Linked DNA regions of Anolis sagrei. The protein of the gene in region 2 binds, or shares a complex with, the protein of the main gene of each other region. Links are inferred from orthologs where the notes say so. Each region holds a gene or a part of one and is shown on either strand. Other genes may lie near its edges.

What was found. Proteins that work in one complex are often made in the same cells at the same time.
Region 1: the proteins of TGFB1 (region 2) and TGFBR2 are in contact, whole or in part, in a cryo-EM structure (PDB 9FKP), measured with the Homo sapiens proteins. The link is inferred for Anolis sagrei from reciprocal best matches to the Homo sapiens genes TGFB1 and TGFBR2. Residues at the interface, in NP_000651.3 of Homo sapiens: Arg303, Lys309, Trp310, His312, Tyr368, Tyr369, Val370, Gly371, Arg372, Lys373; in NP_003233.4 of Homo sapiens: Phe47, Leu50, Phe53, Asp55, Ser72, Ile73, Thr74, Ser75, Ile76, Cys77, Glu78, Val100, Asp141, Glu142.

Annotation. Positions count from the first base shown.
Region 1 is NC_090026.1:82,524,524-82,535,223, reverse strand, and holds the start of TGFBR2 (TGF-beta receptor type-2), read left to right. Parts: upstream 1-3,564; 5' UTR 3,565-3,861; coding exon 3,862-3,937; intron 3,938-10,700. UniProt on the Homo sapiens protein: Transmembrane serine/threonine kinase forming with the TGF-beta type I serine/threonine kinase receptor, TGFBR1, the non-promiscuous receptor for the TGF-beta cytokines TGFB1, TGFB2 and TGFB3.
Region 2 is NC_090034.1:98,781,723-98,792,422, reverse strand, and holds the start of TGFB1 (transforming growth factor beta-1 proprotein), read left to right. Parts: upstream 1-5,040; 5' UTR 5,041-5,814; coding exon 5,815-6,241; intron 6,242-10,700. UniProt on the Homo sapiens protein: Transforming growth factor beta-1 proprotein: Precursor of the Latency-associated peptide (LAP) and Transforming growth factor beta-1 (TGF-beta-1) chains, which constitute the regulatory and active subunit of TGF-beta-1, respectively.

The DNA.
Region 1 (10,700 bases), on a different chromosome or scaffold from region 2:
TTCATGCAAAGGGCATTACAGTTGTGGTTAAGAAAGTTGATCACAAGTTTGAAAGCATTTTTGTTCGCTATCACCATGACAATCTTGAGATTCAAAACCCTATATACTCATGCATATATAAAGAAACTTTAATTGAAAATATGACTCAGGGTGCATTAATTCTACATTGCAGAATTAATGCAGCTTGTCTGGAGCATGGGGCTAGGCCAATTCTATTTCCACTTGCTTTCTGCTCATTTATTATGCATTTAGATCCTAAAATATGAAGAAAATTAGTACCTTTCAGGAACTCTAGCACAAATGCATCATTAAAACTAATCATGAAGATAACAAAATTTGGTTTATATATTCCGAGAAACTGAAAACGATGCCATAGTTGCCTCTATATGAAGGATGATTATGGGCAACAGATGTTCTAATTTAATTATGACTGGGAAACAAGCAAAATGTGGTGTACATTTCTGACAGTTTGAAATCAGACTTTTACAGAAACTTTTCTGCGTGTAACTTTCCGTAAATGCCTTTGCTTGAGGCTGAACATTTTTGCACTAATATAAACAGATGAATGAATTCCTCAGAACAAGTAAAAACTAGCAGAAATGGTTCAGCAACAGGAAAAAAGAAAGCAAAACGCTCTGAAATTCAAAACAGTAGTACAATTTGTTGCTCATTAGCACCATGCAAAAGTATTTTGTTGTATTTCAGGAATGGTGGACATTGTTATATTACAATTCCTATCATTCTTTACCTTTTTACTGTGCTGGCTAGAGCTAATGGGAGTCATAGTCCAACAAAGTTTAGAAAACAGGTTTCTAACTCTTCATGTATTTATCTCACTCCGATTTTTGCACCAGGAGGCAGAAAACATGTTCTGCGTAATACATTTTGCAGACATGACAGTATACTGATTATATCTCAGCAGGCATGACGAAATTCAGAACTGTGTAAATGTAAGAAACCTTAGATTTGCAGCTAAATGCAGCTTTTAATGGGTGAATTATATGGCTAAGAATCACACATCAATACTGTTTGACCTTGTAAAACTACAACTCATGATTCTATAGCATTAAGCTAGATCAGTATTTCTCAACCTGGGGGTCACAAGGGGGTTTTAGTGGGTCACCAAAGACCATCAGAAAACATATATTTCTGATGGCCTTAGGAACCCCTTTAGCAGAGAAGGCCGAAGATCTCTCTGCCTGTCCTTCCCTTTCTTTTTGGAAACAGACGGCAAATCTTCCCACCAAAAGCTCTCCTGTGCTGTGATTGGCCGACCTCTCAGCCAAGGGGAGGGCTGTTTCTGAGACACCAAGCAGGGGAGGGGAGAGCAGGCATGTTCGGCACATAGCAGAATGGTGCGCATGTGCGTGTGAGGTTGGAGGGAGGCTTGGGCCACAGGTTGAGAACCACTGTTCTATACATAAACACACATATGCACACTGGTAGGCCTGGAGGGCCAAAGTTTGCTCATGCCTGATCTATAGGCATGTATCTGTCTGTGCGTATAACTTTGTGTGTATGTATGTGTATGTGCTTGTCTGTGTGTATAAGTATGTATGTGAGTGTATGTACATGTCTGTGGTTTACTTGTGTGTATGTATGTGAGTGTATGTGCCTGTCTGTATGCATAAGTTTGTGTGTATGCATGAGAGTGTATGCACCTGTCTATGTGTATGTGAATGTATGTGCCTGTTTGTGTGTATAAGTTTGTGTGTATGTATGTGCGTGTCTGTGTGTATAAGTTTGTGTGTTGGTATGTGAGTGTATGTGCCAGTTTGTGTGTATGTATATATGTGCCTGTTTGTGTATATGTATACGAGTGTATGTGCCTGTAAGTGTGTATAAGTTTGTGTGTATGTATGTGAGCGTATGTGCCTGTCTGTGTGTATAAGTTTGTGTGTACATATGCAAGTGTATGTGCCTGTAAGTGTGTATAAGTTTGTGTGTATGTATGTGAGCGTATGTGCCTGTCTGTGTGTATAAGTTTGTGTGTACATATGTGAGTGTATGTGCCTGTGTGTATAAGTTTGTGTGTATGTATGTGAGTGTATGTGCCTGCTTGTGTGTATGTATGCGAGTGTATGTGCCTGTAAGTGTGTATAAGTTTGTGTGTATGTATGTGAGCGTATGTGCCTGTCTGTGTGTATAAGTTTGTGTGTACATATGTGAGTGTATGTGCCTGTGTGTATAAGTTTGTGTGTATGTATGTGAGTGTATGTGCCTGCTTGTGTGTATGTATGCGAGTGTATGTGCCTGTAAGTGTGTATAAATTTGTGTGTATGTATGTGAGTGTATGTGCCTGTCTGTGTGTATAGGTTTGTGTGTATGTGCCTGCTTGTGTGTATGTCTACGAGTGTATGTGCCTGTAAGTGTGTATAAGTGTGTGTGTATGTATGTGAGTGTATGTGCTTGTCTTTGAGTATAAGTTTGTGTGTATGTATGTGAGTGTATGTGCCCGTTTGTGTGTATGTGTGTGCCTGTAAGTATGTGTAGGTTTGTGTGTATATATGTATGTGAGTGTATGTGCCTGTCTGTGTGTATAAGTTTGTGTGTATGTATGTGAGTGTATGTGCCTGCCTGTGTGTATAAGTTGTGTGTATGTATGTGAGTGTATGCACCTGTCTGTGTGTATGTATGCGAGTGTATGTGCCTGTTTGTGTGTAAGTATATGAATGCATGTGCTTGTCTGTGTGTATAGGTTTGTGTGTATGTATGTGAGTGTATGTGCCTGTTTGTGCGTATGTATGCGAGTGTATATGCCTGTCTGTGTGTATAAGTTTGTGTGTATGTATGTGAATATATGTGCCTGTTTGTGTGCATGTGAGTGTATGTGCCTGTTTGTGTGTATGCATGTGACTGTATGTGCCTCTCTGTGTGTATAAGTTTGTGTGTATGTATGTGCGTGTCTGTGTGTATACGTTTGTTTGTATGTATGTGAGTATATGTGCCTGTTTGTGTGCATGTGAGTGTATGTGCCTGTTTGTGTGTAAGCATGTGACTGTATGTGCCTCTCTGTGTGTATAAGTTTGTGTGTATGTATGTGCGTGTCTGTGTGTATACGTTTGTGTGTATGCATGTGAATGTATATGCCTTTATGTGTGTATAAGTTTGTGTGTATGCACGTGAGTGTATGCGCCTGTCTGTGTGTATAAGTTTGTGAGTATGTACATGAGTGTCTGCACCAATCTGTGTTTATGTATTTGAGTGTATGCGCCTGTCTGTTAGGAATTGTGGAAGCTGAAGTCTAAAACACTGGAGGGCCGAAGTTTGCCCATGCCTCATCTATAGGCATGTGCTTGTCTGTGTGTATAAGTTTGTGTGCGTGTATGTGCGTATATAAGTTTGTGTGTACATATGTGAGTATATGCGCCTGTCTGCGAGTATGTTTGTGTGTATACATGTGCGTGTATGCGCTTGTCTGGGTGTATAAGTTTGTGTTTGTGTGTCTGCATGTGTGTAGAAGTGTGCGTGCGTGCGGTGTGTGCCTGTCAGGGCGCGCTGGGGCGAAGCGGTTCCAGAGGAGAAGGAGGAGGAGGAGGAGGGCGGGCCAGCGGAGAAGGAACTCCAGCCAGAGTGAAGAAAGTCCTGCCCAGCTGTTTGCGAACTTCGAAGGTTTCCTGTTTCCCCTGCAGGCAGGCAGGCAGGCAAGCAAGCAGGCCGGGCTGCAGCGAGCGGAGGGGCGTGAGTCACAGAGGCACGCACTCCCAGCAGCAGCAGCAGCCGCCCAGCCGCCCATCCGCCTCTGCTCCTTCGGCTGCCTCTGGCGGGGCCTCCTCGGCTGGCTGTGGTTCCCCCTGGAGCCCCCAAAGAAGCCCTGGCCGCCTCCCCCCCGCGCGCGGGCGCCCAAGGCACGGATGTACCATGAGCTGGCTTGCCAAGCTCGCTTTGGTGTGGACTCTGCTGCACATCGCCACGCCCGCGCTGGCCCGGGCCACAGGTAAAGCTCGCACCAGAGGTTTCCCCCTCTTGCGTTCCAGCAACGCTCCTGAGAGAGAGAGAGAGAGAGAGAGAGAGAGAGAGCCACAGCTTTGGAGATGGTCAGGAGCTCCCTTGGGTTGCCTCAGGGCCACTTCCTCTCCCGCTTCAGCGCTTGGGAAAGTTCAGAGGAACTTTTCTGTCCGGTTCTTCTCCCCTATATTTCTCTTTGTATCCAGAAGGAAACCTCTCCCTTACTAGGAGGGGAAAGGGTGGCCTTAGAAGCGGCTGAGGGGGAAAAGGAAGGGGGCTGAGGCTGTTAGGAATGGTGGGAGTTGGAGTCCAAAACACCTGGAGGGCCCAAGTTTGTCCATGCCTGCCTTAAGTGATCATTTTCTCTCAGCTTGGCCCCAAAAGGAGCCACTCTTGGCTCTATTTGCCAGGAATAGAAGGTTATTCCAAAGAAATAAGGGTTACAGTGCCTTTAGGACTGTGGTTCCCAATTTTCCGACCGCCACGACCCCTTAATACAGTTCCTCATGTTGTGGTGACCCCCCCCCCCCCAACCATAACATTATTTTCGTTGCTACTTAATAACTGTAATTTGCTACTGTTATGAATCATCATGTAAATATCTGATATGCAGATGTGTTTTTGTTCACTGGACCAGATTTGGCACAAATACCCCATACATTTGAATGCTGGTGGGGTTCAGGGAGAGGGCTGATTTTGTCATTTGGGAGTTGTAGTTGCTGGGATTTATAGTTGACGTACAATCGAAGAGCATTCTGAACTCCACCAAGGATGGAATTAAACCAAACTTGACCAACAGAAAATACTAGAAGGGTTTGGTGGGCATTGACCTTCAGTTTTGGAGTTGTAGTTCACCTACATTCAGAGAACACTGTGAACCCAAACAGTGATGGATCTGGACCAAACTTGGCACGAATCTATATAAATAAAATGTAATGTTAGTTTGTGGGATTGACATAACTCAAAAACCACTGGACGAGTTGACACCAAATTTGGACACAAGACACCTATCAGGCCAACGAGTGACCATCACTCATAAAAGCAAAAATAAAGAAAAAACACACAGCAGAAAGGACTTAAAAAGCCAAAAAACAAAAAAAATAACATTACAACACATGCGCAAAACCACATATATACACACACATATATACACATATACACAAATACACACACACACATACACATATATACACACACAAAACACATATACAGAGACTGGGACACAGCAGCACACGTGGCAGGGGATGGATAGTACTCAATATGCCCAAAGGTGAACACTAGTGGAGTTTGGGGAAAATAGACCTTGACATTTGGGAGTTGTAGTTGCTGAGATTTATAGTTCACCTACAATCAAAGGGCATTCTGGACCCCATGAACAATAGAATTGGGCCAAATTTCCCATATAGTACCCCCCCCCCCATGACCAACAGCAAATACTGTGTTTTGCAAGCCCCTCTGAAACCCTCTTGTGACCCCCCCCCCAGGGGTCCCAACACGCAGGTTGAGAAACACTGGCATAGGGGAACTATATCTTGTTTGCTGCTTTTTCAGCTGTGGGTCCTCACCCCAAATAGCGTCCCTTTCGCTTAATAAAATTGGTAACAGTCCAAGGTATGCTGCCTATTTATATAAATCTGTTGGCGGGGGGGGGGGGGGAGTTTAAAATCTGGTTTACTCATGAATTTTAACTGGTTAACAAATTCTTGGGTAACTAGGTTTTCTTAATCCCCCCCCCCCCCTGGTTCCAGACCTGGTTAGCAGTAATATGCAGCGTTTACTGTGGACTCTGCAGTAAATGCTTCACAGCTGTACTGCACAAAAAGGGAAAACCAACCTGTTTAGCAATCCTTCATTTGTTCCCAGTAAGTATTTGATTTTTATACAAGTATGTACCTAGGACCAAAAGGGGTTGCGAGTGAAAGAAGTTTAAGAAGTCCTTCTGCAGCTGACAAGTTTGGAGTGCAATGCTTCACATTAGGGAACTATATTCTGAGATGGTATATTGGGGGCACAGTCCCTTAGAATAGTAAAGGTAAAGGTTTCCCCTTGGCATTAAGTCTAGTTGTGTCCTACTCTGGAGAGTGGTGCTTATCTCAATTTCTATATAGTAGTGTAGTAGTAATAGTAGTAGTGGTAGTAGTAGTAGTAGTAAATTTTATTGATTAGCCCTTAGGCCATTTCACAATACCAAACCAAACAAAAAGGCTTGATAAAACTTGATTTCACTCTGTATAGCAAGTTAAGTAAATCACTTATAACAATATACTAAATAAATATGATAAAACTGAATATATACATAATGTTTCCATTTCTAAGCCGAAGAACTGTTGTCGTCTGTATACGCCTTCAAGAACATGTGGCCTGCATGACTGCAGGGAGCGCCGTTAGCTTTCTGCCTGAGGAGTTCCTATTAATCTACTCACATTTGCATGCTTTCAAATTGCTAGGTTGGCAGAAGCTGGGGCTTCTGCCAGATTCGAATCGCTGACCTTTCGGTCAGCATGTTCAACAGCTTAGCGCTTTAACCCACTGTGCCACCAGGGGCTCCATAGCATAGGACAACTATATCCTGTAGTTGATAAGTTGGGAGTCCAGTGCCTTAGAATAGTGGGACTGTATCTTGTAGTTGACAAGATTTCTTTTATTATAGATTTTTTTCTGTGTCAGCAGCAACTTGAGAAACTGCAAGTCGCTTCTGGTGTGAGAGAATTGGTCATCTGCAAGGACGTTGCCCAGGTGTCGTCTGAATGTTTTACCATCCTGTGGGAGGCTTCTCTCCTATCTCTGCATGAGAAGCTGGAACTGACAGATGGGAGTTCACCATGCTCCCCAGATTCAAACCTCTGACCTTTCAGTCAACAGTCCTGCTGGCACAAGGGTTTAACCTACTGCGTCACCGGGGGGCAATAAGTACTGTGACTTAAGATAAAAGAACTCTATTACGTGCTGATCCCTCCCACATCAAAATAGTTGGGGTCAGAATTTCAAAATGTTCCCCCTTTTCCCCCTAACAAAAAACTTTTTTTCTGTTACAAAACCTAGTTAAATAAATTGCTTTGCTCGGTCACTGCTACATATTGTAAAATTACAGGAAATTGACTGGGAAACCAAAGGAACGGAGTGCGTGTATGGTGACAGGTTTGTGGAAAACAGTAGGGGCAGCAATTTTTAAGAGTATGATGGTAAACACACATAGATGGATGTATGGGTTGTTTCATATGATAGTAAATGTTTGGATTTCAAATGTCTCAGGATTTTCCGTCTTCTTATTTTTGCTTTTTGTCTTGCTCATGTGTGGATTTTTCTCTGCCCGCTTTTCAACTTGCTTTGATACAAGCATGTTACAAAGAGATAAGTGAAGTAGAAACTAGACTTTCCATTGCTTTAAAAATGCCCTAGTTGTGAATTCCAGTGAGGCAATCTGGTCATATGATTACAGTCTTTAAACTTCCTTAAAGTTAACCAACGACTTCAGAACTTTCACTGTAATTATATTGTCATATTGAGGTCCTGGCGCATTACTCATCCGTTCTGTTGTTGTTGTTGTTGTTGTTATACTCCACTTTCCTCTCTTCATCCAGACTCAAAAGCAGCTCACAACAGTAAAACAATACAATTTAAGAATTAAAATAGAATTAAACATGGAGATATTTCAAACCTACTGTCTGCTTAATGGGTATGGCCAATATTGTACTAGGGGTCACAATTTGAAAAATGGGACACTATATAAATAGCAGAGGTGGAATTTTGTCAGCGTAGCCAATGATGAGGAATGCTGGGAGATGCAACCCAACATCTGGAGAGCCACAAAGTTCCCACTGCTGCTCTACAACAAGGATAGTTCATGCATACAATCAAGATGTTCAACTTCCCTTTCATTGTTGGTTATGCTGGCTCCTTGGGTTGCCATTTAATCACATTCGGAGGACCATGTGACCCACATTTTGGGCTCTAGATGCATAACCTGAAATGGCATCAGGGGCCCAGAAACTTTATGCTTGTTAATGAGCCACTACTCTTTATGTTTTGTGGCCTTTTATATTGGAATCTCCTTCCTAAAATACCTATGTGCACCCCTGTTTTCTCCTCAAAGTGTGTTTGAAAAGTATAGAAGTGCAGGTATGATGATTTCATTACACTTAACTTCTCCCTTTTAAAAGCAATGCTTTTAAAGAATCCTCCACCTTGTGCAACTGTGGAGCAAAACAAACAGCTCCACATCTGTATGCTTATCCGCAATGTCCTGCCTCATGTAAAGAGAAACAATTGTTTAAAGCTACAGACAATTTAGTCGCTGTTGCCCGTTTTTGGTAAAAAAAAAAAAAGTTGCTTGTGCTCCTTCTATTTTTATCAGTTTTATACTTATTTGTGCAGTGCTTTTGATACAAAATACATAAATAACATGTTTTTCTTTTTGCCTTCCCTTGGTAGAAAATCTATGGGAGGTGATTTTTTAATCATTATGCTAATTTTGCAAACTACATGAAGAATGCTATGTACTGTCATGTGAGTTGACAGTAAAACTGTAGAAATAGTACTGTTCACTGACAAATAATTTTTATTATTTATTTCCTACATTTATACAGTTTGCAATCCTGTATAAGCATAGTGTTGGAAAATACATGTATTCATTTTATACATATAAATTTATGTATTATCATACAAATTACTTACTTGCATTAAACAATCTATCAAGGGTATTTTTGTTTCTGATTTTCTAATTATTTTATGTGTTTTACACCAGAAAGCAAATTGGACCTATATTTTAGTTGTACAGTATTGGTGTCTTTGAAATATTGGCCCTCCCAATTATTCCATATATTAATGCCTACAACATATTAATGAGGGCAATGGAACTGTGATTATTTTAGTGACTTGGAGATATTTAAAGTATAGTCAAGACAGATAGGAAAGAATACGCACAGGAGTTTTGCCATTGTGTTCTCAGATATTTGTCAAATGACTTGCTATGTGAGTCTTAGTATTAGCAGAAACAAGACAAAACCAGAAAGTAATGAACAGATTGTTGCATGCATACTAGAAACTTTCCCAGGCCACTTTCGAATGCAATATCTCCTAAAAAGATGATCCTCGAAGTCAGGGAAGTAGGAGTCAAGGCAACATTAGTACTTCTGTTCCCATCTGCCTGAAAACTAGCATGATTGATAAATATGATGACGGAATAATAATAAACTCCCTAGAATTTGTCTCTGGGTTTTTATTCGCAGCAGACAGAATAAGTGACATGGAAATACTTTCACTGTGATTTAGGGCCCTTTCACATAGGCATATAAACCGGAATATCAAGGCAGGAAATCCCACAATATCTACTTTGAACTGGAACATATGGCAGTGTGGACTCAGACAACCCAGTTCAAAGCAGATATTGTGAGATTTCCTGTTTTGATATTCTGGGTTATATGGCAGTGTGGAAGAGCCCTTAGAACAAGTTTGATTCACATGCCATTTGCACATATACTTTCTTCTCTACTCATCCTCCCTGCTTGCTTTCTTTATATCTTAAGTTTCAAATAAATTGTACCAAAAAAAGATAAAGCAGGTGAAATAGTTTTGCTGAGGAATGAGATTGAAAGCAACCAGCATTTTAATCCTTTTAAAAAGTGGTGTAGAAGTATTCAGGTATATGTTGCAACTGCACTGAAAAACATTTGAAAGCTGAGATATTATATTTCTTAGGATTATTTTTGTAAGGTGCACACAATTATAGAAAGCTAGTTTGGATAATGATATGACAAAACTTAACATGGGAAGGTTCATCTATTTGGCATATGTATGCAAAAGCCTACTAATAAACCTACTTGGAATATTAAATGGACAGTGTCCAAGGAAAATACATTGTGTAACACCCTCCTCAGCCATAATTGTTCATATTGCAATATAGATGCTTTTTAAGTGAGCCAGTATAAAAGGTACATATTAATTCATAAGGGTTGTTTTTATATACTTTAATGCTTATATGAAAGTTTGGTATGCAGCACAGCTATGATTCACTTCTTTGTGCGTGTGTGTGGAAATTACAGAGTAAAAGCAATCCAATGTAGGGAATTTTAATCTGCAAACAGACTGACTCTCCACTAGAATCCCTTGTTTTCCTGCAATTGTTAGAGTTTTTGTAACTGCAGATTTAGCTACCCAGCTGCCCCCATAGTAACACAGTTTGTCTTCAAGAGAACAACTATCAGCAGCAGAAGAGAAGGACCTGTTGAGTTTGGAATTTGTTCATGCTTTGACTTGTTGATGTGCCGTCGAGTCTTTCCTTTTTCTTATTACCTTTTCCTCTTTCTAAGACCTCAAAGTGGCACGTAAACAAGATAAGTGTTCCCCTTTCAACAATGAACCAGAATTATGAACGCCCAAAGTTCAGAAATAATATAAACAAGAGGAGTGGGATAGAGGCATTCCAGGCTGCCATTGAATGAAGCATATGTTGGTGGCTTTCTAGCCAACCATCGGTCAACAGGCAAACTTCAGTCAATAATGCCTTCCATGTTGCAGGACTTCATACTACACTTTGATACTTGGGTCTATTTAGAATACAACCGCTAGGCTAACATGCTTGCTTCTTGTTATATTTACCTTTTCTTATTTAAGCTCTAATGAACATACATCTAAGGCCAAACACATTTGAAGAAGAGAGAGGGAGACCTCTTTAACAGGGAAAGTGATGTCCCATGAGAGCTCTCAATCTGCATTATCCCCCAAAGTGGAACTCAAACCAGCTTTATCTGCCA
Region 2 (10,700 bases):
TTGGTATCTCCTTACAGGCAGAAGCTATGGAAATGAATCATAGATATTGGTGGAACTCGTGGAAGGAGGTGTCTTGGCTTCTGATGTAATATGATATCATTTCTCTTTTCCTTCTAAGGAGCTCAAGCTGTGGCAATGGAATCTCCAATTCTCGCTTGATCTTTACAACAACCCTGTAAAGTAGACTAGGCTGACAAATACCATCCTTGACATAAGTTTCACGGGCAATTCCCAGTCTTCAGCCTGTTCCAGTTTGGCATGGACAGCCCCAATTGATCCTCTGCCATCCAACTTTTAAAATGTCCCAGTTTCTGTTCCTTCCTTCCTTTGCCTTAAGCTGTATTCCAATTCCTGCAGCTTGTGTTCCAAGGGCAACAAGTAGCAAAGGAGGAGAGGGGAAATATTTCCCTTATTCAGCAGGATCAAGCAAAAGCAAACTGCTGCAGACTCTCCCAACTTTCTATTTTAACCATGTTTGGATGTTGCAAGGGGCTCTCTCATAGTGCAGCGGGTTAAACCACTTATCTGCTAAATTTGCTGGCTGAAAGGTTGGCAGTTCGAATCTGGGAAGTGGGGTGAGCTCCTGCTGTTAGCCCCAGCTTCTGCCAACCTAGCAGTTCAAAAACATGCAAATGTGAATAGATCAATATGTACCGCTTCTGTTGTCGAATGCAAGAAGATATTGGCGCACCATGCAGTCATGACTGCATGACCTTTATTTATTTATGACATTTATATTTTATTTTTATTTTTATTATTTAGTTCATGTACTTCTACCCCGCCCTTCTCAACCCCTGAGGGTTGACTCAGGGCGGCTTACAAAAAGGCACAATTCGATGCCTACACAGTAATACAAATAAGATATAGACAGCAATTAAAAACAGTTATAACAGTTAAGAACAATCAATATATATCACAGTCAATAAAAAGCAATCTTATGCTCAACGTTCGCAACTCAGAGTCCATAGCTTCATTCCACATTTTCCATTCCTATCAGTCATCATTGTCCTTTATTTATCTGCCAGATTGCCCAAACGCCTGGTCCCAAATCCATGTTTTTAATTTCCTTCTAAAGGAAAGGAGGGATGACGATGATCTAATTTCCCCAGGGAGTGAATTCCATAGGTGAGGGGCCACCACCGAGAAGGCCCTGCTCTTTGTCCCCGCCAATCTCACTTGTGATGAAGGCGGGGCTTGAGTCCCCCCCCCCCAAAGGAGACTCAGAGCGGCTTACAAGATATATATGCATACAATATATTAAGTTAGTAGCATAGTACAATATCAGTATTAAATATTACTATATTGTACTATACCATTATATTGTAATATTATTGGTAATATTACATGTAATATAAATATATAATTATAATATCATATTATTGTTATTGTTAGTAGTAGTAGTATTATATTGCATTACATTATAATATTATAAATATTTTATGGACAACACTGGCTTAGAAATGGAGATAAGCACCACTCCCCAGAGTCGAAAATGACTTGGCTTAATGTATTGTCGAAGGCTTTCATGGCCGGAATCACTGGGTTGTTGTAGGTTTTTTCAGGCTATATAGCCGTGTTCTAGAGGCATTTTCTCCTGACATTTCGCCTGCATCTATGGCAAACATCCTCAGAGGCAGTGAGGTCTTTTGGAACTAGGAAAGTGGGTTTATGTATCTGTGGAATGACCACGGTGGGGCAAAGAACTCTTATCTGTTGGAGCTAGGTGTGAATGTTTCAACTGACCACCTTGATTAGCATTTTATGGTCTGGCAGTGCCTGGGGCAATCTTTTGTTGAGAGGTGATTAGATGTGCCTGATTGTTTCCCCTCTGTTGTTTTGCTGTTGTAATTTTAGGGTTTTTTTTAGTACTGGTAGCCAGATTTTGTTCATTTTCATGGTTTCCTCCTTCCTGTTGAAATTGCCCACATGCTTGTGGATAGACTTAATGTCAGGGGAAACCTATACCTTTACTTCACCTTGGATGTTGCTTGGTTTTTACCTGTGAAATGTTAGATATATAACCAGCACACATTCTTATTTCTATATCAGTGTTTCTCAACTTGGAGGTCAGGACACCTGGGTGGGTCACGAGGGGTTTTCAGAGGGGTAACCAAAGACCATCAGAAAACACAGTATTTTCTGTTGGTCATGAGGGTTCTATGTGAGATGTTTTGCCCAATTTTATCATTGGTGGGGTTCAGAATGCTCTTTGATTGTAGGTGAACTATAAATCCCAGCCACTACAACTCCCAAATGTCAATGCCTGTTTTCCCCAAACTCCACCAGTGTTCACATTTGGGCATATTGAGTATCTGTGCCAAGTTTGGTCCAGATCCATCATTGTTCGAGTCCACAGTTGTAGGTGAACTACAACTCCAACTCCAAAACTCAAGGTCAATGCCCACCAAACCCTTTCAGTATTTTCTTTTGGTCATGGGAGTTCTATGTGCCAATTTTGGTTTAATTCCATCATTGCTGGAGTCCAAAATGTTATTTGACTGTAGGTGAACTATACATCCCAAATGACAAAATCAATCCCCCCCCCAAGCCTACCTGTATTCAAATTTGGGCATATTGTGTATTTGTGCCAAATTTGGTCCAATGAATAAAATGCATCCTGATATCAGATATTTACATTACAATGCATAACAATAGAAAAATTAGAGTTATGAAGTGGCAACATAATAATTTTATGGTTGGGGGTCCCCATAGCATAAGGAACTGTGCCATTAGGAAGGTTGAGAACCACTGATCTATATGATGTTGTAATTGCTTAGAATGGAATAGCATTTGGATATTTCTTTTGACCAAGGGTTTGTGAGACAGCAGTGAATGGGTCCTTGTTCTCTTAATGTCAGCTACTATCTGCAGAATATGGCCTAGCTTGACCAACTTCAGGCCATGTGTTTTGAATACACAAATACTATTCAGAATGGATCAGGAATAATAGTGATAGCGATGTATAGAGAGTCTGGGTGATATTGCACTTTTGAGTGGGAGATCTAGGGTGAAGGCAAAGGAAAACCCACTCAAAACACATCTTGCCAAGAAAACCCATAAGTCAGAAATGACTTGAAAGTATATGACAACGAAAGTATTAAAATGAGTGTGGTGTATTTTCAGGAAATGCAACTTGTAGGAAAAAACCCCACCTGGGTCCTCATTGTGACATGACCACAACAAAGCCATATCATGTGAGCTCAGGAAACATTCCCCCGGGGCTACTGACATGAGTCATGGGCAGAGGCGAAACTTGAATCCAGGCCTTCCAGCCTGAAGGTATTTCCCTTGACTTGAAGCAGGCGTTATCTAGTCCAGGAGCCCCTTCCTCAGCTGCCTGAGCACAGAAGCTGCCGCCGAGTTAGAAGAGCCACTGAAAGCGTTATCTAATCTCCTGTAATAAAAAAGATCCTTCTCAAAGCGAAAGCAGAGGCTGCGCCTGAGTTTGGCCCATCGCTTCTGCCTTGCGCTGAATCATTTTTTAAACAAAAGAGAAAGCAAAGAAGAGGAAGAGAGAAAAGTGAAGAGAAGAGTCAAGAAGACTTCCTAAGAGATAGTTCAGCAAAAAGGTAAAGAGAGATGAACAGAGCTGGAGAGGCTATGCATCGAAGAGAAGATGAAAGAAAGAGAAAAATCAAGCAAGCAAGCAAGATCTCTTGTGGGGAAATAGTTGGCTCAGCAATGAGGTGAAGAAAGGTGAATGGAGAGAGGAGGATATGGAAGGAAAAGAGAGAGAAAGAAAGAAAAGGAAGGAAGGAAAGAAGGAAGGGAAACACTTGAGGAAGAAGATCAGTTCTGAGAGAAAGAAAAAGGATGAATAGATGGATGGATGGATGGATGGATGGATGGATGGATGGAAGGAAGGAAGGAAGGAAAGAAAGAAAGAAAGAAAGAAAGGGAGAAGATTGGTTCTGAGAGAAACAAAAGGAAAGGAAAGGAAGGAAGGAAAACACTTGAGGGAGAAGACTGGTTCTGAGAGAAAGAAAAGGAAGGAAGGAAGGAAGGAAGGAAGGAAGGAAGGAAGGAAGGAAGGAAGGAAGGAAGGGATACTTGAGGGAGAAGATTGGTTCTGCGAGAAAGAAAAGAAAGGGAGGGAGGAAGAAAGGAAAAACAGTTGAGAGAGAAAATTGGTTCTGAGAGAAAGAAAAGGAAGGAAGGAAGAAAGGAAGGAAGGAAGGAAGGAAGGAAGGGATACTTGAGGGAGAAGATTGGTTCTGCGAGAAAGAAAAGAAAGGGAGGGAGGAAGAAAGGAAAAACAGTTGAGAGAGAAAATTGGTTCTGAGAGAAAGAAAAGGAAGGAAGGAAGAAAGGAAGGAAGGAAGGAAGGAAGGAAGGAAGGGATACTTGAGGGAGAAGATTGGTACTAAGAGAAAGAAAAGGAAGCAAGGAAGGATGGAAAGAAAGAACACTTAAGGGAGATGATTGGTACTAAGAGAAAGAAAAGGAAGGAAAGAAGGAAGACTTGAGGGAGAAGTGATTCTGAGAGAGCAAAGGAAAGAAGGAAGGAAGGACAGAAGGAAAGAAAGAACACTTGAGGGAGACAATTGGTTTGAGAGAGAAAAGGAAGGAAGGGAGGGAGGAAGGGAGGGAGGAAGGAAGAAAGAAAGACTTGAGGGAGAAGACTGGTTCATCATTGAGATGAATAAAGAGCAATAGACAGATGGAGGGACTATGCAGGGAAAAGAAGATGAGTGAATGAGAGAGAGAGAGAGAAAACAAAGAAAAAGACTTGCAAGTAGATAGTTCAGTAATTAGATAAAGAAAAATGAATGAAGAAATTGAGAGGCTGTGCAGAGGAAAGAAGACAACAGTGAGAGAAAGGGAATGAAAGAAACAAAAAGGAAAGAGAAACAAAACTTTCAGAGATATGGTTGATTCAACAATGAGGTGAGTAAAGATGTATGGAGAGATGGAGAGGCTGTGCAAGGAAAAGAAGGTAAGAGAAGAAAGAAAGAAAGAAAGAAAGAAAGAAAGAAAGAAAGAAAGGATAGGCAGGAAGAGCAGGCAGAAAGACAGGCCAGAGCCTTGCTGCTTTTGCCAGAGTCTCCCCTGGTGAAGAAGTTATATACAGCCCTGCTGACTCCCTCCTTCATTTCCTGGGTGGAGCTGGCGCTGGGGAGAGGAGAAAAAAACCCGCTTTAAAAACCTCCAAGCCCTCAGTCAGCAAGTCCCAACAGGAGTGGTAAAATTACAGCCTTTCCTGCCGAGGAAGAAAGAAGAGCCAGCTGGCTCTGGGGAGCGAAGAAGCGGCAGGAGGCAACAGCAGCAAAGCCAGAGCACAGCCGCCTGGAGGAACCTCCCGAATCTTGACCCTGGATTTGGCCCCAGTCCCCAAAGCAAGTGTGGTGCCTCATTCCTGGGAACTCAGGGCACCTCTTGTCTTGGGTAAAGCTGGAGCCCCTTGACTGGCTAAGAAAAGATCCTTTCTTGACTCAAACCAGAGAGACAAGGTGTGTTGGCCTTCTCTGGGAGATGGACATTTGGGCTGCGGCCGTGGTCTGGTGCCAAGGGTGAACCTGGGTACATCTAGCAGCCGGACACATGGACAGCCGAGGTGCCAAGGTGAGTTTCCTGTCACCTTTGAGAAAGTGCCACCCTGGATGGTTGATCCACTCCAAGTAGGAAGAAACTCTAGTGAGAAAAGAAAACTAGGATATATTTTGAAGGACTTCATGGCAAGTGGCACATTGGTAGGAAACAAGGTTCTTCTTCAGATGACAGAGGCTTAAAAAGAAGTGAGTAAACGTCAAGCAAAGTTTTGTTTTCTTTTTTCTCTTTGCCTTTTTGGGGGCCGAGCTAAAGAGCAGAAGTGAGATGGTGGGAGGAAGCATGAGGCAGTTGGTGCCAAGAGGCTGCGGCTGGCAGAGCGATGCCCGACGTGCCCCAGGGGCCCTTGGCATGCATCGGCGGGCCGTGGGCTGGCTTTTCCTCCTGCTCCTGGCCTTGGAGCACTTTTGCTCCGCTTTGGCCTTCTCCACCTGCAAAACCCTGGACATGGACATGATGAAGCGCAAGCGCATCGAAGCCATCCGAGGCCAGATCCTCAGCAAGCTCAAGCTCTCCAGCCCACCAGAGGTGGAAGACCCAGACTCCAGGGTCTTGTCCGATGAGATCATGGCGCTCTACAACAGCACCTTGGAGGTGATCCGGGAGCAGGTGGTCGAAGACCCCAAGGAGACATCTCAGGAGGAGTATTACGCCAAGGAGATCCACAGGTTCAACATGCTGCCTCTAAACCACGGTGAGGCCTGGGCTGGGGCTGGGAGGAGAGGAAGTGGGGTCCATGCGTTACAGAAGACCTAGTAGTAGTTATTTGCTGATCTTTCTCTCCGGTGGCAGGAAATGGACACATTTTGCTAGGCTTCCACATTCGGAGAGATTGGAAAAGGTACTTTAGGACTACAAAACCCACACTTGGCTCTGACAGTTGTGTGGACTTTATGGGGTTGTAATCCAAAAAGTAATATCCAGAAAGCAACACCTTTCTGGATAGGAGGGCATAAACTATTTAGTTTTTGAAGCTCAGGAGGATTGGGTTAAAAAGTTAATAAAGTATTCCCAGGTCAGGCTACTAGAAGATGTCATGGACCTCAGGTCATTGGACCTCAGCACACCTCATATTTTGAGCTGGAATAGAGTAATTAAACTGTGATACATGGGCTGGAAAAGACACTTGTTGTGACCTTAAGTGAAAAACTTTCTGGTGTTTCCTAAGTTTCTTGGCCTTGTTTATTTTCCCCATCTGTAAAATGGGAACATTGACTCTTAGGGATTTGCAAGGGATGGAAGTCGAAAGGCAGTGCCTGTTATCTGCACGATGGAAAGTTTCAGATATTTTCTTTGTAAACATTGGGAAAGCAATAGATACAGCCGAGGACAGTGAGGTGGAGAAGGAAAAGCAATGTGGGGTTACCTTGTTTCTTTGTTACCTACTAACACAAACTGAAGTTAGGGAAAACAAACTAGCCCGAACACTTATATTGGGTGATTTTATGCTTTATCCTAGTACATGGATGTTTATTTAGAATCATAGCATCATAGAGTTGGAAGAGACCTCATGGGCTATCTAGTACAACCCCTTTCTGCCAAGAAGCAGAAAAACAAATTCTAAGTCTAAATGCTCTAAAGTAGTGTTTCTCAACCTGGGAGTTGGGACTGCTGAAGGGGTCGCAAGGGGGTGTCAGAGGGGCCACCTAAGATCATCAGAAAACACAGTATTTTCTGTTGGTCATGGGGGTTCTGTGTGGAAAGTTTGGCCCAATCCTATCGTTGGTGGAGTTCACAATACTCTTTGATTCTAAGTGAACTATAAATCCCAACAGCTACAACTCCCAGATGTCAAGGTCTATTTTGTCGAAACTCCACCAGTGTTCACATTGGGGCATATTGAGTATTCGTGCCAAGTTTGGTCCAGATCCATCATTGTTCTAGTCCTCAGTGCTCTTTGGGTGTAGGTGAACTCAAGATCGATGAATACTAGATGGGTTGGGGAGGGGATTGATTTTGTTCACCTACACCCAAAACTCAAGATCGATGCCCATCAAACTCTTCCAATGTTTTCTGTTGGTCATGAGAGTTCTGTGTGCCAAGTTTGGTTCAATCCCATCATTAGTGGAGTGCAGAATGCTCTTTGATTGTAGGTGAATTATGAATCCCAGCAACTACAACTCCCAAATGACAAAATCAACCGACCCCCCCCCCCAAAAAAAAAAACTCCACCAGTATTCAAATATAGGTGTACTGGGTATTTGTGCCAAATTTTGTCCAGTGATCTGTGTGCCAAGTTCGGTCAATTCCATCAATGTCAGAGTTCAGAATGCTCAGGTTGTAAGTGAACTATAAGTCCCAGCAACTACAACTCCCAAATGACAAAATTAACCCCCCCCCCCAACCCTATGGGGTATTTGTGCCAAATTTGGTTCAGTGAATGAAAATCCATCTTGCATATCAGATATTTACATGATGAATCATAACAGGAGCAAAATGACAGTTGTGAAGTGGCAACAAAAATAATGTTATGGTTGGGGGTCGCCACCAAATGAGGAACTGTATTAAGGGGTCGCGGCATTAGGAAGTTTTGAGAAACAATGCTCTAAAGGCACTATATCTTGCTGATTTTGGAAGCTAAGCAGGGGCAGCCCTGGTTAGTACTTGGGTGGGATGCCATCAGTGAACACCAGGATTTTTGTGTGTGTCAGGAATCATCGAATCATAGAATTGTAGAGTTGGAAGAGACCTCGTAGGCCATCCAGTCCAACCCCATTCTGCCAAGGAGCAGGAAAATTGCATTCAAAGCACCACCAACAGATGGCCATCCAGCCTCTGTTTAAAAGCCTCCAAAGAAGTAGACTCCACCACACTCCTGGGCAGAGAGTTCCACTGCTGAACAGCTTTCATAGTAAGGAAGTTCTTCCTAATGTTCAGGTGGAATCTCCTTTCTTGTAGTTTGAAGACATTGTTCCGTGTGACTTGAGAAATTGCAAGGAGTGACTTGAGAAACTGCAAGTCACTTCTGGTATGAGAGAATTGGCTGTCTGCAAGAACGTTGCCCAGGAGACACTTGGATGTTTTATCATCCTGTAGGAGGGATCTCTCATGTCTCTCTATGAGAAGATGGAGCTGACAGACAGGAACTCATCCCACTCCCTGGATTCGAACTGCCGATCTTTTGGTCAGCAGTCCTGCCAGTACAAGGGTTTAATCCATTTTGCCACCTCCAAATGCTGGAGGCTCTATTTCAGAACTGGCAAAACAAAACCCTATGAAATTCTTGGGTTTGCTGTAAACCGACAGTCCTATATGACTTTTACTTACTTACTTAGGCAATCCCTTGTGGTCCGAGGATGATGTCCTCCAAGTGTAGTATACTGACGGGCCTATATATACACAAAGGCCTATATATACACAAAGCCTATATATACACAAAGCATTTCAGGATTCCCTATCAATGCCTCAAGGCAAAAAAGAATTGTCACCTTTTTATAATCTGGCCTGACAGCTCTGCCTTTCACAGGATCCCGACAAGCAAAAGATTTAACAGACAAAGGCTTCTTTTGAGAAGGAGAGAAAGTGATAGGAAGAAGCTTAAGCTGTCACATTTTCTGTCTGTTAGGATGCAGTTAAAAGCTCCGGCTCAGGGCCAGCTGCAAACCTGCAAACTATCATTTCAACCAGAGTTGTGATGTCTTGCATGATACCCTTTGAACTGAAAACGAATGGGATGTGTGACACCTTTTATAAAAATACAACCAATAAATTGCTGGCACTCTGGAACTTGGCAACTGTTTACCATTCCCATAAGGACACGGCATGGTGTTTCCATTTGTTTTGCTCCAAAACGTTGTCCCGTAAGCAAAGTACAGGAAAAACATGGCCTGGCAAGACCTGAGGCTTCCTGCCTTTTCAGCTGACAGTTTTGGCTGCTGGAAGGAACACGCTTTTACTAGCAGAAGCGGTGCGGTTCTGGCCGGGAAGAGTCACGCAGGGTGCAGCGCATGCTTTGCTTCCCATGGCACCAGATTCAGGCTTCAATTAAAGAATGACAGGTATTGAAAAGTTTGAAAAGACCCAGCATGGAATTCTAGGCAGATGCAAGCAATATGTTTTGCTATGTGGGCAACTCTTGACCAAGAAGGACTCATAAATTGACTGAAGCTGGAAAGCAGTGTTTATTATCTTATTCTCCAGGACTATTCTTCATTTAAGGTTTTGCAATCCCTCTTTAATCCCCGAAACTTGGTAATGGAGTGGGGGAGAGAGGGAAGCAACACGCTGCAGACTTCCACATCACATCTCTTTTGTTTTGGCAGAGACAGTTCCAACAACAACTCAGTCGTACCACTTTTTCAGCTGCCCTTTAATAGGCCCCTACACTGTAAAAATAATCCAGTTTGACACCACATTAACTGACATAGAATCATAGAATCATAGAATCAAAGAGTTGGAAGAGACCTCATGGACCATCCAGTCCAAACCCCATTCTGCCAAGAAGCAGGAATATTGCATTCAAATCACCCCTGACAGAAGGCCATCCAGCCTCTGTTTAAAAGCTTCCAAATAAGGAACCTCCACCACACTCCGGGGCAGAGAGTTCCACTGCTGAACGGCTCTCAGAGTCAGGAAGTTCTTCCTCATGTTCAGATGGAATCTCCTTTCTTGTAGTTTGAAGCCATTGTTCCGCGTCCTAGTCTCCAGGGAAGCAGAAAACAAGCTTTCTCCCTCCTCCCTGTGGCTTCCTCTCACATATTTATACATGGCTATCATATCTCCTCTCAGCCTTCTCTTCTTCAGGCTAAATATGCCCAGCTCCTTAAGCCGCTCTTCATAGGGCTTGTTCTCCAGACCCTTAATCATTTTAGTCGCCCTCCTCTGGACACATTCCAGCTTGTCAATATCTCTCTTGAATTGTGGTGCCCAGAATTGGACACATGGCTCAGTACTATTTATTCATTTATTTATTTACGATATTTACATTTACAGTATATTCTGGCGTATAAGACTACTTTTTAACCCAAGAAAATCTTCTCAAAAGTCAGGGGTCGTCTTATACGCGGGTGTAGTCTTATGCATGGGAGTCGTCTTAACTCTATATTTTAACTGGAAAAGTTGGGGGTCGTCTTATACGCCCAGTCATCTTATATGCCAGAATATATGGTATATTGGATCCTGGGAGCTTTAGTTTTGCAACGCATATAGCCTCC